Linked DNA regions of Callithrix jacchus. The protein of the gene in region 2 purifies or fractionates together with the protein of the main gene of each other region. This does not show direct contact. Links are inferred from orthologs where the notes say so. Each region holds a gene or a part of one and is shown on either strand. Other genes may lie near its edges.

Region 1 (4,816 bases), on a different chromosome or scaffold from region 2:
CAGGGCCTGACTGAGGCCCACGCAGGAACTGAAACTCAGACACCGACAAAGAGAGGGCCATGGGGCCCAGGAAATACACACAGAGCCAGGCGCAGAAGCAATGAGTAGACACACAGCCTGAAAAAGACCCGGACAGACAGACGGACAGATAGACACTGCCTGAGACAGACACAGACAGATACATCCTCAAACAGACCCGCACAGACAGACCGACAGCCTGAAACAGATGTGGATGGACAGACAGACACAGCCTGAAACAGACCAGCACAGACAGACAGACAGACAGATAGCCTGAAGTGGATGTGGACAGACAGACACAGCCTGAAACAGACCAGCACAGACAGACAGACAGACAGATAGCCTGAAACGGGTGTGGACAGACAGACGCAGCCTGAAACAGACCCGGATGGACAGACAGATGCCCAGCAACTCCCCGCCCAGGGACCCCTTCGGGCCTCCCTCGCACACTGGGAGGAGGAAGCCGCCGAGACTGCAGGGACCCTGGCTCTGGAGCCCCAGGTACGCCCTGGTCTTCGGAGCAGCCACGACTCACCATCACCCCCCTTTTCTAAGACTGCCCAATCCCAAATAAAGTATTTTGACAGAACCATGTTTTGGGGTGGAGGCGGAGTCTGGGGGCTCCCCCACTCCCTAGAATGAGGGGTTGGGCCAGCCTGGGATAGGGGAGTGAGGTGTGGGCTCCACGCCGCCGCCAGATCCCCGCGCGGGAACAGCGGCGGGAGAGGTGCCAGGCGCGGCTTCAGCACCTTGGAGAGCGGCGGCGGGCCGAGCGCGGGGAGCCCGGGAGGTGCTTCCAGGGTGTGAGCGCCTGGCTTGCGGGGAAGGCAGCTGCCTTCCTGGGGATCTGGGCGGCCCACCCTGCTCGTTTTGTGGGTCAGGATACGGAGGCTTCAGAAGTGGAGGGACTCCCCAAGGTCACAGCTGGGGAGGGTGGAACCTGGCTGCGCCTGCGCTCTTCTGCCGCGTTGCCCCCACTGTGGGTTGTGCGCGCCAAAGGACAGAAGGCGGCTCACAGCCTGGGGCAAATGTGAAACAAGAAAAAGTCTTGCTCGTAAGTGTGTAACTACAGACTGGGTGCTCAGAAAATGCTAGCTGCTGTATGGGCTTCATCATCATAAAGCTGGCCTGATCCCTCCAGAGGTGGGGGTGGGGGATAGGGAAGCCCTTGTTCCCCACCCTGGGCTTGAGGGGCAGGGATTGCAACGGAGCACAGGCAGATGGTCCAGGGAGGAGGGAACCACGAACTCCTGACCCGGGAGGGCAAGGACCTGCCACAAATTTGGAATTTAAACACTTACTGGATGCAGTGGCTCACGCCCGTAAGTCCAACACTTTGGGAGGCCAAGGTGGCCTGACTGCTTGAGCCCAGGAGTTCAAGACCAGCCTGGGCCACATAGTGAGACCCTGTCTCTACAAAAATGCAAACAACTAGCTGGGTGTGATGGCGAGCACCTATAAACCCAGCTACTCAGGAGGCTGAGGCAGGAGAATCCCAGGAGGTGAAGGCTGCAGTGAGCTGAGATCACACCACTGCATTCCAACCTTGGTGACAGAGCAAGGCTCCAACTCAAAAAAAAGAACGATTCTGAGATGCAAGAAGGAAGTTCAGTTTTTATTGCATTGAAGACTTTTCCAGAAGCCTGGTGGACCAACGTCTCCCTCCCTCCAGCTCCAAAGGCAATGCCAGCCTCTGGTGTGTCCCCCACTTTGAAGTGGGTCTCCCCTCCTGCAAGGCCGGTGGAGGAGAGGTGGGTGGGGTGTGGGGGGCCCAGAGGGGAAGCCCTGGGGGCAGAGGGAGGTCAGTCCTGTTTAGACTGGAGACCAGGGAGGGCCCAGCCACACCTCCCAACAACACCCTGAGTCAGAGGCTGGGGTATAGCAGGGGCTTAGCTGTCAGCCCCGGGGTGTGGTTTCTTCCTGGAGCCCAGGGAGAGACCTTGGAGGGCAGGTGTGACCCCTGGAGCGCAGCTCTCAGAGCCCTGAGGTTCCCGGGGAAAGAAACAAGTAACAAAGTGAGACCACGAGAGAAAAAGAATCCACGGTTTCTACAAAAAGCCCCGCCCTCCCCGAGCACCCTGGTCAGCTGGGGACCGCCTCAGCCTTCACTCTTTTTGGGGGTCTGTGGGGTGCAGGGCTGGCGGGCCGCTCCCGTTTGGGGCTGTCGGGCTCTGAGCCGTTGTGCTGGGCACAGGGCTCCTGCTTGGGGCTGGCGGGGACAGAGCCGTTGATCCGGGTGGGGGATTCCTCCTTGGACTCCAGCTTGGGGGCAGGTGGGCGGGGCAGGGGCGGCAGCGCCCTCTCCAGCACACGGGGGCCGTCCCAGGCGGGGATCTCCAACCCGAGGTGCTTCATGAGCCGGGTCATGACTTCGTCGACGTAGCCATGGATGCGGAGGTCGGCATGACGGTCCTGCCGGGAGTTGGGATGGGTCAGGCGTCGGGGGCAGAGGGCACATGGGGGCCCTGGGCAGGGGTGGGCTCAGACACCTACGTGCTTGGTGGGCTGCAGGTTGACGATGACCAGGCGGCCTCCCCGGCGCTTGGTGGCCAGCGGCAGATTCCCACTGGGTCGGATCTGCAGCGACGTACCCAGGGTGATGGACAGGTCGGCGTTCCTGGGGCCGGGGAGCGTGGGCTGAGTCTGATCCCCTCTCCAGCCCCGCTCTGGCCAACATCCCGAGCTGGCCATGGGGTCCAGCTCACACCTAGGCCCTCTGTGCTCACCCGGGCAGTCAAGGCTGGCCCCACTGCAGAGCCAGCCTTCAGGATCCCACCCCCTCTCCTCTGCTGCCTGCCAGCAGGGTCATTGATCCTTCTGGGGAGAATGGCAGTGTGGCGACAGCTTGGAACCCTAGGGTGGGTCCCTGGCTCAGTCTCCTCCTGGCTGGGCAGCACTGGCTAGAGGAGTCGTGTGGCTGAAGCCTCCGTTTCTTTGTGCAGCATCCACCCAGAACCATAGTGAGGAGAGAGTGTGTATGTGTGTGTGTGTGTGTGTGTGTGTGTGTGCAGTCCCTGGTGTGGCCCACCTCCTCCAGGAAGCACCCCCTGACTGCCTCTGAGCTGGAGCTCCTGCCCCCGTTACTGGAGCTGGCTGTGTTTCTGCCATCTCCCCAGCCCGCTCCCCTGTGGGCTCCCTGGGGGCGGTCAGACCTGCTGGCCTCATCGGCAAGCGCCAGGTCCCGGTCCGGTAGGGAGTCCTCCCAGTCTAGGATGGTGTCCCTCAGCTCCCCCCTGCAATGAGGAAGCCGGGAAGAGTCCAAAGGGGCCTCGTAGCCTCCCCTGTAGCCCAGGGCACGGGCAGGGTCGCTCACCTGCAGGCCCGCAGCCCCCTCGCCTTAGCCACGGTGCAGAGCCGACCTGTGGCCTTCAGGCCCATGCTGCCCACAACCGTGTCCCGGACGTACTGCCTGTGTCAGGGAGGAAGGGGAAGGCCGGGGCCGAGTCAGCCCCCGGGGGTGTCTCTCAAGCTGCTTCTAGGGGGACATTCTCCCAGGGAGGCGCGGGGGTGGACAGGTGGCCAGAACTCAGCACCGAGTGATGCAGAAGGAGGAGCCTCCCATGAGCATCAGGCCGGGACGCTGCTCAGTTCCCAGGGCACAGAAAACAAAGGTAGGAGAAGGTCCTGGGGCTGGGGACGGGACCCCGCATGGCATCCCGGACCAGGAGGAACAGAACAGCTAGAGCTTGGGGGCAACCGGCTGGGTCTGGAATCAAACCAGGGATTGGAGAAGGCCATGTCCCCTTTACTTTTCCTGACTTTAACCGTTATACTGGACCAGCCTCGGGGGCTCACGCCTGTAATCCCAGCACTTTGGGAGGACGAGGCGGGAGAATCATTTGAGGCCAGGAGTTTGAGACCAGCCTGGGCAACACAGTGAGACCCTATGTGTATAAAAATAAAAAAAGAGGAGAAACTCGGAGATAAGAAGGCCCCTGTAGCTGTAAGCCCAGGACCACCAAGGGGGTCTGGCTGCTGCCAGCAGCGAGGAAGAGGCAGGAAAAATCCTCCCGGCAGGTTGCAGAGGGGCACGGCCCTGCAGACACTTGGATTTTGGACTTCTGGCCCCCAGAACTGTGAGATCACAAATTTCTATTGTTCTAAGCTGCTCATCTACTGGTTGCTATGGCAGTGCCAGAACACGGAAGTAACTCCCTGGGAGGGAGGCATGTCCCTCTAGTCCCTCCAGGAGGAAGGCATGACCCTCAGACCCCCCAGGAGGACGGGGTGACCCTCAGACCCCCCAGGAGGACGGGGTGACCCTCAGACCCTCCAGGAGGACGGGGTGACCCTCAGACCCTCCAGGAGGACGGGGTGACCCTCAGACCCTCCAGGAGGACGGGGTGACCCTCAGACCCCCCAGGAGGACGGGGTGACCCTCAGACCCCCCAGGAGGACGGGGTGACCCTCAGACCCCCCAGGAGGACGGGGTGACCCTCAGACCCTCCAGGAGGACGGGGTGACCCTCAGACCCTCCAGGAGGATGGGGTGACCCTCAGACCCCCCAGGAGGACGGGGTGACCCTCAGACCCCCCAGGAGGACGGGGTGACCCTCAGACCCCCCAGGAGGACGGGGTGACCCTCAGACCCCCCAGGAGGACGGGGTGACCCTCAGACCCCCCAGGAGGACGGGGTGACCCTCAGACCCCCCAGGAGGACGGGGTGACCCTCAGACCCCCCAGGAGGACGGGGTGACCCTCAGACCCCCCAGGAGGACGGGGTGACCCTCAGACCCCCAGGAGGACGGGGTGATCCTCAGACCCCCAGGAGGACGGGGTGACCCTCAGACCCCCAGGAG
Region 2 (5,758 bases):
CAGGTGTAAGGCAAAAGTGGTAGCTTCAAATTACCCCAAATCATTTCATCGGCATCGGCCCGTCAGTGACAGAGAAATTCACTTGGACTTAACACTTCAACTGTTAAGTTCTCTTGTTTTTGCTAAAATGTTGAAAGCTATTGTCCTCAAAATGTTTCCAAATGTTTCACTATTACACTTCAATACAGGCAAAAGGGATCAATCAACACTTCCTAATAACTGGAAATAGGGTTACTAACCTAGAAACATTTTTGTTTTATTTACTTATTTTTATTTATTTGAGATGGCGTTTCCCTCTTGTAACCCAGGCTGGAGTGCAGTGGTGTGATCTCGGCTCACTGCAACCCCCACCTCCCAGGTTCAAGTGATTCTCCTAACTCGGTTTCCCGAATAGCTGGTATTACAGGTGTGCCACCACGCCTGGCTAATTCTTGTATTTTTAGTAGAGATCGGGGTTTCACCATGTTGGCCACGCTGGTCTTGAACTCCTGACCTCCTCAAGTAATCCAAGCATCTCCACCTCCCAAAGTGCTGGGATTACAGGCGTGAGCCACTGTGCCGGCCTATAAACATTTTTAACTTTTTCCAGGTCCCATTATTCTTACTGACAAATTTAACTTTAACGAACCAATTTTAAAATAAGACCTCGAATTTGTAGCTGTTATTCCCAACAAAAACAAGTGTAATATGCATATCATGGCACTTAGCACATGAGAACAATCAGTATTTGCTGAATGCATGAATGGCCATTAAGGCTGCAAGACTTTTCGGGTAGTTGGCAACCAAATAAAACAAATTTTTGAAAACGCTCAGAATGATTCAGGCAGGAACCAGTAACTAAATCCTGTCATACATAATTCCATTATTTGTTTCCATTACTATTCTTTGAAAATGAAAATTATGAGAAATCGACCTGGCGGTGGCTCACACCTGTAATCCCAGCACTTTGCGAGGCTGAAGTGGTGGATCACCTGAGGCCAAGAGTTCCAGACCAGCCTGGCCAACATGGTGAAACCCCGAGTATAATAAAAATACAAAAAAATTAGCTGGGCATGGTGGCTGGCGCCTGTACCCGGAGAGGCTGAGGCAGGAGAATCATTTGAACCCGGGAGGTGGAGGTTGCAGTGAGCAGAGATGGCGCCATCGCACTGCAGCCTGAGCAACAAGAGCGAAACTCCATCTCAAAAAAAAGAAAAAGAAAATTTTGAGAAATTAAACTATCTCCTTTGCTACTTTCTTCACGCTAGAACTTAAAAGCATTTAAATCACACTTTAAAAGAATAAACCCAAAGTGTTGCTAACATTTATGTTGAGCCAACTTTTGCTACTCCAATTCTCTGAAGATGCATATAGCTAATGCTGCCGCATGAAACATAAATACAGGGCGGGCGAGGTGTCTCACGAGGTCAGGAAATCAGACCATCCTGGCCAACACCGTGAATCCCCGCCTCTACTAAAAAATTAGCTGGCTGTGGTGATGCACACCTGTAACCCCAGCGACTCGGGAGGCTGAGGCAGGATGAAAGGCTTGAGCCCAGGAGATGAAGACTGCATTGAGCCGAGATTGTGCCACTGCACTTCGGCCTGGCCAAGGAGGGAGACTCCATCTCAAATAATAATAATAATTAAAAAAAAAAAAAAAAAACACGTAAACACTGGGACAATTAAAGCAACGAAATTACAATTTACATATTATCCATCTCCACTAACATTTCAATCAGCCTTCAACTGTGACTGATGCTTATTAAATAGAGTTATGCCTAAAGACGCTTTCTTCTTGTCAAAAATCACAATGAATATTACACATTAATTCATAATGACCTTTATACTTATTCATACCAATTTTAACAGTAGGCGAATTAGTATTTAAGTTGAGAAAAAAATCAAACGTCAGATCTTTTCTTAAATAAATCTAAACAAAGCTAAATACACCAAATCTCTTAAGAAAATCTCTGGAGTTATACATTTGTAAAAATTATTCAACTGCGAATCCCTTTTTTGGTGCAAAGAACCATACTACTTACAAAAGTAAATGTACAAGGGAGCAAAGCATTAACGGGACGATGCTCCGATGCCAATTGAACTAGGGCAAATTGAACAAAATTGAAGCTTCTCATTAAGACCTAATTTTTAAAAGTTTTCGCGTTGTAGATTCCACAACACGGATTCATTTCAACAGTTACGAAAATCGTTTTTCAAATGACGTCTAGTCAGGTTGACTTTATCTGCAAAAGAGCAACAAGACCCAGGTGCTTATGTAGGGTTACAATTTTACTTGCCACCAGGTTTCCCAGTGGCTACTTTGTTTCATTTCCCCATATTTAATATAAATGCACATTGAGATGGTTTGAGAGTATGCAACAATTTATAGGGACTAGAGGTCAACAAATTGGCAGTCTAAAGCAAGCTTGACAAATTGTATCATGCCGATTTTCGCTCAGAATAATTATAATGGCGGAGGGGGGAGAAAGGGTGGGAGAGGAGAGGAGCTTAACTCTCCACGCACATCTCCCAAAAAGAGCTCTTTCTTTCCACTACAGGATTATTGTAAAAGGCCCCTAAGCTTTAGATACCGTTCAGGCAGGGTGCGTTAGTGTCAGCCTGGCTGGGATGGATTCGTGCAAGGGATGTCACTCAAATGCAAGTACAAGTACAGTCCTTGCGACTTATTTCGAGTTTTGTTTTCACCAGTAGCCTAAGGCCGCACTCAGCGACTTCTATCTAAAAACCAGAAAATCAGCAACCCCCGCGTCAACAATCGAGCTCACAAGGAAGGCTTTTGGAGCAAGGGGGCAACAGGGCACCCTGAAATCTTTAAGGCTCGCTCCGGGCAGAGGCAGCAACCTGAGCTGCCCTGGGGCTCTTGCCGCTCCAGGAGACTCCCGGAGCCCCCGAGCCGCCTCCCCGGGCCGGCGCGGCGGGGAGGGCCCCACTCCACACCCCGGGCTCGCCCCGCGGTCCAGCCCCGGGGAGATTAACCCCTTCGGCACCCCCCACGCCCTCCCCAGGCGGGGCCCGGAGCCCCCGCCCTTCTGCCTCCCCGGGACTAGGGGGCCCAGGCAACTCTGGAGGACGAAGGCGCGGCGTGCGCAGAAGCGGCGGGTGGCTCCGGCCTAGGCCCGGGCAGCGTGTCCCGGCGCCCTCCCCCACTCCCACACGCTCGCTCCGGGCAGAGTGCGGGAGCCCGCCCGCCCGCCGCGGCGTCGGCTCGCCCTGGGCTCGGGTCCCCTTCCGGCCGAAGGCGCGGGCCGGCGGCTACCTGCGGACTGTGGAGGGCCATGGCGGCCCGTTTCAATGGGACTCGGCGCTCCTCCGGCTGCTCACGCTGCTTCCCCCGCCGCCGCCATCTTCTCGCCCGCACATACACACTCACATCGGCCGCCGCGCCTGCGCACTGGCCGCCCGCCGCGGGGCGCGGGGAGGCCGGCGCGGTGCTGCGCCTGCGCGGGCGACAGGTGGGCGTGCGCCGGCTGGGCCGCGGACCTTCCCCGCCGCGTTTGGACCTGCTGGGTCTCTGAGCACCGAGCCCATCGGGCGGAAGCGGCCGCGCAGCTGCACACTAGGAGCCCGCCAGGGCCTGGCTGCGGAGCCGGAAGGAGAGAGGGCAGGCACGTGGAGGTGGCAACGCCGAGGCGCTGGCAGGCCCCGGCTCCCACACCTGCTGGGGGTTACCTGGGCGCCCGGAGCCCGGGAGCTGCCTCCTGAGGTCGGCACGGGGCCCACGAGTCACCCTTGGCGTCCCTGGGCCGGGGCCTCGGGAGTGTTCGCAGAAGATCCCGGAGGAGGGTCTGGTTTATGAAGATCCCTTTGCCGCCCATTCATTCATTTGTTCCCTCTTCATTTACACCCTAAGTCCTACCCGGGCGTCTGGGCCACGCCTTTTGCTAGGCATTAAGGGAGAAAAGCAAAACAGGAAAACAAAACGTAGGGAGTAAAAGCACGGGTAAAGTGCTTGACGCGAGGCCTGCCAAGTGCTACGTATTGCACACGTCCGTGCGTGTGCACAGGCAAACTAGCCTTGGGTTTGTTGATTCATTCATTCTTCAAGAAAAAAGGGCCCCTGCCTGACTGCAGCGTTTTCCAGCCGGTGGGTCCACCCTTGGGTTCTGGCCCCTTTTCGAGCTGTGATTCAGACAGGCATCTTCCCTTTCCTAAGCCTTGGTCTCCTCACCTGTGAATAAGACAAATCTGTCACGAGTAAGATTTCTGCGAGGTTCAAACAAGATTAATGTGAGCAGACTGGCCAAGAGAACAGTCAATAAAAATTGGCTACCGTGATTGTCGTTAATAACCATTATCACTGGTTTCATTTGTTCAACAAACACCTACAGAGAGTCTACTCTTGCTAGACCCAACCCTAAGCTGAGGGGATTAACAGGAAGATCCATTCCCACCTTGCATGAAATAGGGGCCTGGTCTCTTCATAAATGCGATGCCATGAAAAATGTAAGTGGGCCGGGCACAGTGGCTCCCATCTTTAATCCCAGCACTTTGGAAGGCCGAGGCGGGCAGATCACTTGAGGTCAGGAGTTAGAAACCAGCCAGGCCTGGCCAATATGGTGAAACCCCATCTCTACTAAAAATACAAAAATTAGTGGGTTGTAGTGGCGCACCCATGTATAGTCCCAGCTACTTGGGAGGCTGAGGTGGGAGGATCGCTTGAACCAGGGAGGTGGAGGTTGCAGTGAGCTGAGATTGTGCCACTGCACTCCAGCCTGGGCAACAGAGCAAGTCTCTGTCTCACAAAAAAAAAAAAAAGAAAAAGAAAAATATAAGTTGCAGGGAGGGGTCGTTCCAAAATAGAAGAGCTAGAAACACATAACCTGATACAATGTGTCAATCTTGCTTGGATCCTGATATGTCGTTTAAACTGGTTTTATTGTTTATTTGTTGACAATCAGAGATGTTTAAATATGGGTTGAATATAAGTGATCTTAGTGAATTATTGGTATTTTTTTTTCTTTTTTTTTTTTTTTGAAATGGAGTTTTTTTTATTTTTGACCGGGTTTTACTCTGTCCCCTAGACTGGAGTGCAGTGGCATGATCTTGGCTCACTGCAGCCTCCACTTTTCGGGTTCAAGCAATTCCCATGCCTCTTCAACCTCCTGAGTAGCTGGGACTACAGGTACCTGCCACCACACCCGACTAATTTTTGTATTTTTAGCATAGATGGGGTTTCACCACATTGGTCAGGCTGGTCCTGACCTCCTGACCTCATGATCTACCACCTTGGCCTCCCAAAGTGCTGGGATTACAGGCATGAGCCACTGTGCCCAGCCTGAATTATCATTACAGTTTTTTGAAATGGAGTCTCGCTCTGTTGCCCAGGCTGGGATGTACTGGTGAGGTCTCACCTCACCACAATTTCTACCTCCTTTCAAGCGATTCTCCTGCCTCAGCCTCCCAAGTAGCTGGGACTATAGGCACACGCCACTATGCCTGCCTAATTTTTGTATTTTTACTAAAGATAGGGTTTCACTGTGTTGGCCAGGCCCGTCTTGAACTCTTTACCTTGTAATCTGCCTGCCTCGGCCTCCCAAACTGCTGGGATTACAGGCATGAGCCACCATGTCTGGCCCTTGGCCTGAATTATTGATGATTTTATAGTGTAATAATGATACTGTACTCATTGAGAGGATGTTCTTATTGTGAGGAGATGCATTCTGAAGAATTTAGGAGTGAAGACCGTAATGCCTGCAAACTGTTGTTTAATGGTTCAACAAAAGATAAAATCATACACACACATAAACATTCAGGG
Region 3 (5,198 bases), on a different chromosome or scaffold from region 2:
AGGAGGAACCTATGTATTAAAACAGTGGTCCTCAGAGCGCTGGCATGAATCAAAAAGTCACTGGGAGGGCTTGTCAAAACACAAGATTACTGGCTTTATCCTGTAGTTTCTCATTCCTTTGCCCTGGGTTAGGGCCCATGAATTTACATTTCTAAGAAGTTGCTAGGTACTCCTGATGATCCAGAAACCACAGAACCATGTTATTAAAGAAGTCTTGGATTATGAATGAAATATAATGTATGGACCTTGTTTGGATTCTGTTTTGAACAAGCCAATTGTAAAAATAATAATTCTCTTGATAGGAAAATATAGACATGCGATGGACTTTTGATAATATTAAGGAATTGGTAAATTTTGATAGTGTAATCATGGTATTGTAATTATATTTTTCTTTTTTTAAAGGAGGCCCCACCTTTTTAGAAATACATACTGAAATTATGGGTAAATGCTATATTGTTTGCTTGAAAATAATTGGAGCTGAAAAGTAGTTGAGGATAGAGGTAAAGAATGATTGGCCATGTATTGATGATGGGGAAGAAAGTGATGAGTACACAAGGATTCATTATATGTATTAATTTTTCTGCTTTTCTGTGTTTACAGAAATTATCTTTAAAATTTAAAATACATATTTGGAAACATAAAAATATATTCCTAAATAGCACATGAGTTTAAGTCATCATAGAAATTATACATTTTTGGAATAAAAGAGTCATGAACTATACTATTTCAAAACGTGTGGCATGCAGGTGAAGCAGGACTTAAAGGTAAATTTATTGACTTAAGTCTTCCAAGAAATATTTAAATGAAGTAAGTTCAACTCAAAAGTTAGAGGATGAAATACAGAAAAGCTGGAGGGAAAAAGTAAGAGCAGAAAAAATAGAAATAAGTTAATGCAGTCATCTTATATTCACAGGTAGCTGAGAAGATTGGATTGAACTAAGGCATTGTTAGAGAGATTGGTGTATAATTTTCCTCTCTCTAATATCCTTGGTTCTGTTTCAGTGCTGTGCTAGCCTGATAGAAGAATTGGGCAGTCTTGAGCCAGGTGTGGTGCTTGCCTGCAGTTTCAGCTACTTGAGAGACTGAGACAGTAGGATCATGTGAAGCTTGGAGTTTGAGACCAGTCTGGGCAACATAGTAAGACAGGGATTTAAAAAAAAAAAAAAAAAGAAGTAATCTAAAGGGAAATTAATAGTAGGACTTCTCTATTGTCTTTTATCTTAAATAGTTAATTTTCTGCCTCAGTGAGGAACTACTCAACGTATGTAGAAATGGTTTGTTATTTTTTCAGCATACACTTAGTGCCAGATGCTGTGTTAGGCATTGAGAACATGTAGATGACTAGGATACATCCCCTACTCCTGTGGCAGTCAGTCTGAGGGAGCATATACTTTTGTAAACAAAAAATTAGAGCTGTCTCTGTTGCCATGACCCGCAATAACCAGCGTGAGCTCGCCCACCAGAAGAATAGGAAAAAGCAGAGCAACTAGGTTAAGGGACGGCACCGAGATGACGGGCTTTTTGTTGCCACCGGCAAGCAGAGTGCCCCATCATCTCTACCGCCAGGGTCGGAGATCGTGCAGCAGAAGCGAAGAAGGCAAACAAGAAGGAGAAACCCAACTAGCTTTGTGGCTGCATGTGCAGCCCTCTTGCACTTCGCCTGTGTGCCTAGAACCAGTCCCACCACGCTCGCGTTTACTACTGTAGTGCTCACAGGTCCTAGCGCCGATGGCATTCCCTTTGCCCTGAGTCTGCAGCGGGTCTCTTTTGTGCCTCCTTCCCCTCAGGTAGCCTCTCTTCCCCTGGGCCGCTCCTGGGGGTGAGGGGGTTACCCCTTCCCAGTGTTTTTTTATTTCTGTGGGGCTCACCCCAGAGTATTTAAAGTAGTTTTGTTAAAAAAAAAAAAAAAAGTTAGAATCAGGCAAGAAATGTTAGTAGACAATATGGAAGAGTTCCTAGGCAATTCCTTGAGAGAAGAAAACGTTTAATGTATAGGATGGACTCGGCCTCGTGATGTTTTTGCTCAAGTGGTCTCCAAGAAGAAATGGTATTTACCAAGCAGCCAGTCTGTTGTAACGGGACACATTAAAAGTCAAGAGGAGTTTGCTGTGTGACTGGGAGACCATTAAGTTATAAGAGCTGTCAGTGTATGTTATTTAGGATTTTTGTAGCAAGGTTTATTTGAGAGATTGGCCTGTAATTTTCCTTTCTTTTAATATCCTTGTATGGTATCAAGGTTATGCTGGCCTTATAAGTGTTGGAAAATATTCCTTCCTTGTTATGCTCTGGAAGAGGTTGTGTAAGATTGGTATTCTTTCTTCCTTGAATGACTGCAAAGCCATTGGGATGTGGGGTTTTCTTTAGTCAGTGTGTACTAAACATTTAGTAGAAACAGTGACCCAAAATTTCAACTTAAGTTGAATATGTGTCTGAAAAGTTTTATTCTTCTTACTAACATTTTCACATAAAACTTCACTCTGCTCACTGAGGTTGATCCACAGTTTGATCAATGTTTTATCAGTGACAGAAATACAGTAGTATAAAAACTTGAGTCCATTTCTAACCACTAAATCATATATTACAGCTTCAAAAAACAATTTTTTTTCTTTTGAGTACCTAGGCTGTATGCTGGGGGTACTGTGGTGTCAAATGAGACAAATCTGTGTCATCCAAATACTTGTGGACTCAATTTGATACAAACAAGCATCAGATCATTTTAATCTACTGGGTTTATTGGGATGTGTGTGTGAATATATTATTAAGGCCTGATTATTTTGATGGGCTTTCCTGTTCAGAATGCTTTGTCTTAGTTGCTTTTGTGAATGAATTTTTAATTAAATTTATATATTTCATAAGAAGTAATATATTTGCATCATTCACACTTCAGAAGTTATAAATAAGGATCTCCAACTTTGTCCTTTAGTCACCTAGTTTCCCATCTGTGGAGCTAAAATATGTTAGTTGCTTCTTAGCTATTCATTAGTTTTTATATCCTCTGAATATGCAATATATATTCATCACCTTTGTCCCCCCCCTTTTTTTTAACCTTTGTCTTCTGCACTTTGCTTTTAATTTAATAAGTCCTTAGAAACCGTTCTTTATCCTTGCATGTTAAAACTATCTTGTTTTCTCTTATGACTTCCTTGTATCTTGTGAGAACAGTAATTTTAAGTTAATTGTGGTATTGATGGATTTTTAGGTTATTTCCAGTCTTCCTGCCCAAAACAGCTACATTGAATATCCCAAATTGCTTTTGAATAATTAAATCATCATTTTGTCTTCCTTTGCTAGCTTTTTGGGACAGATTTTTTTTTTCTTTTCAGCCATGAACCAGAGAATCAGTCAGAGTGCTCCAGTGAAACAGCCACCACCTCTGGCTCCCCAGAGCCCACAGGGAGGTGTCATGGGTGGCAGCAGCTCCAACCAACAGCAACAGATGCGACTGCAGCAACTGCAGATGGAGAAGGAGAGGCTGCGGCTGAAACAGCAAGAACTGCTTCGGCAGGTGAGGCCACAGGTTAGAAACCAGCCTTCCACTTTTTGGGGTTTGTTTTCTTACTTAAAGTTTTGCAGATTTCATTTTAACATTTATTACAGAGGAATACTGTCTTCATAAAAATGAGCGACATAGAAGCATACTATCCAGCTCTGTCCTTGTCTTAGTTTCCTGACTGTGATTGGCCTTGATCAAATTACAAGGGATGTAACTTGGAAACGTGTATCGTGAAGCTGTTTTGGCTATGGTCATTGCAATTGAGCAGAAATTGAAGGAAGCAACAATGCTCTCTTTAATGTACATGGAATTGTGGATTTATGTTTTTCTGAGGATTTTAGAAAGGGGGAAATTCTACAACATCACTTGGGAGAAAATATCTTTTGTTATTATTTATGTGGTGGGATACACCAGTATGACATTTCTTGAATGACAAGTATACTTCAGTATTACCGAATCTAAGAATTTTCATTTAAAACATAATGAGAGTTACCTTTGTCCAGGTGCGATGGCTTATGACTGTAATCTGAGCACTTTGAGAGTCCAGAGTGGGCAGATCACTTGAGGCCAGAGTTCCAAGACCAGCCTGGCCAACATAGCAAAACCCCGTCTCTACTAAAAATATAAAAATTAGCTGAGCATGGTGGTGCACACCTGTAATCCCAGCTATTCGGGAGGCTGAAGCACAAGAATTGCTGGAGCCTCAGAGGCAGAGGTTCATTGAGCCAAGATTGTGCCACTGCACTTGAGCCTGGGTGACAGAGTGAGACTCTTTCTCCAAAAAAAAAAGTTATCTTCAAGTTTAGTAGATGCCACTGTGCTTTAAAATTACCTGCCTATGGATTTTTTTTATATTGGGAAAAGTAGGATATAACAGCAGAGAGCTTGAAGCCCCTTTAATCACCATTTCCGTCAGCTTTCTTCCACAAGGTACTGTTGGTCTTTATGTTCCATAATACATAATTCATCTCAGCATTAATTTTTACTTTATCTTATTTCAGAGTGGTTAAATCTAAGTTCAGATATTCAGGATATGATCGTTTGTTAAGTAGTGTAGTTATTTTTAAATTTCTATATAAAAAATTTTTGAATAGATACCAGAAACATGGTATAATAGTGATAAAGTGTATAAAAGGTAAAGGTACACTCAAAATCTTTTTTCTGTTACCCTGGTTCTTTCCTCTGGGGCCTAAATAACTATGAGTTTTTTAGGTTTTTTGTTTTTTGTTCATTTTTCCAGAGATACTCTGTTTAGCTATGTAAAATATATGTATCTATGCTATGTTTTCCCCACCTAAATCACAGCATGCTAAGTGTAGACATTTAAAAATCATCATACTCGGCCAGGCATGGTGGCCCATGCCTGTAAACCCCAACACTTAGGGAGGCCGAGGCAGGAGGTTTGCTTGAACCCAGGAGTTGAAACCAGCCTGGGCAACATGGCAAGACCCTGTCTCTTAAAAAAATATATATATATGTGCGTTCTATATTTCTGTTATCAGAAAGTGGGCATTTAAAGGTCTGTTTTTTTAAAGGGCTATGTTTTAAAGGTATCTCTTGAATGTCAGTGAAAATATATGAACTCAGTAACACCTGAACTCTGATTTGGGGTTTGAGGAGCTGGTACTTCAGGAGTTAAATTAAGCCATGGCATCTGAGACAGGCTCACCTTTAAACTGTGCTCTGTCAGTAATCTGTTCGTATA

What was found. Proteins that work in one complex are often made in the same cells at the same time.
Region 1: the proteins of USP10 (region 2) and SIRT6 purify together in Homo sapiens (affinity purification with western blotting; 4 studies listed by BioGRID, with this or other methods). This does not show direct contact. The link is inferred for Callithrix jacchus from reciprocal best matches to the Homo sapiens genes USP10 and SIRT6.
Region 3: the proteins of USP10 (region 2) and YAP1 purify together in Homo sapiens (affinity purification with western blotting; 4 studies listed by BioGRID). This does not show direct contact. The link is inferred for Callithrix jacchus from reciprocal best matches to the Homo sapiens genes USP10 and YAP1.

What each region holds. Positions count from the first base shown.
Region 1 is NC_133523.1:3,917,161-3,921,976, forward strand, and holds the end of SIRT6 (NAD-dependent protein deacylase sirtuin-6), read right to left. Parts: intron 3,428-4,816; coding exon 3,332-3,427; intron 3,252-3,331; coding exon 3,171-3,251; intron 2,636-3,170; coding exon 2,512-2,635; intron 2,431-2,511; coding exon 2,101-2,430; 3' UTR 1,608-2,100; downstream 1-1,607. UniProt on the Homo sapiens protein: NAD-dependent protein deacetylase, deacylase and mono-ADP-ribosyltransferase that plays an essential role in DNA damage repair, telomere maintenance, metabolic homeostasis, inflammation, tumorigenesis and aging.
Region 2 is NC_133521.1:42,365,977-42,371,734, reverse strand, and holds the start of USP10 (ubiquitin carboxyl-terminal hydrolase 10), read right to left. Parts: upstream 3,372-5,758; 5' UTR 3,281-3,371; coding exon 3,260-3,280; intron 1-3,259. UniProt on the Homo sapiens protein: Hydrolase that can remove conjugated ubiquitin from target proteins such as p53/TP53, RPS2/us5, RPS3/us3, RPS10/eS10, BECN1, SNX3 and CFTR.
Region 3 is NC_133511.1:37,447,756-37,452,953, reverse strand, and holds part of YAP1 (transcriptional coactivator YAP1), read left to right. Parts: intron 1-3,323; coding exon 3,324-3,517; intron 3,518-5,198. UniProt on the Homo sapiens protein: Transcriptional regulator with dual roles as a coactivator and corepressor. Critical downstream regulatory target in the Hippo signaling pathway, crucial for organ size control and tumor suppression by restricting proliferation and promoting apoptosis.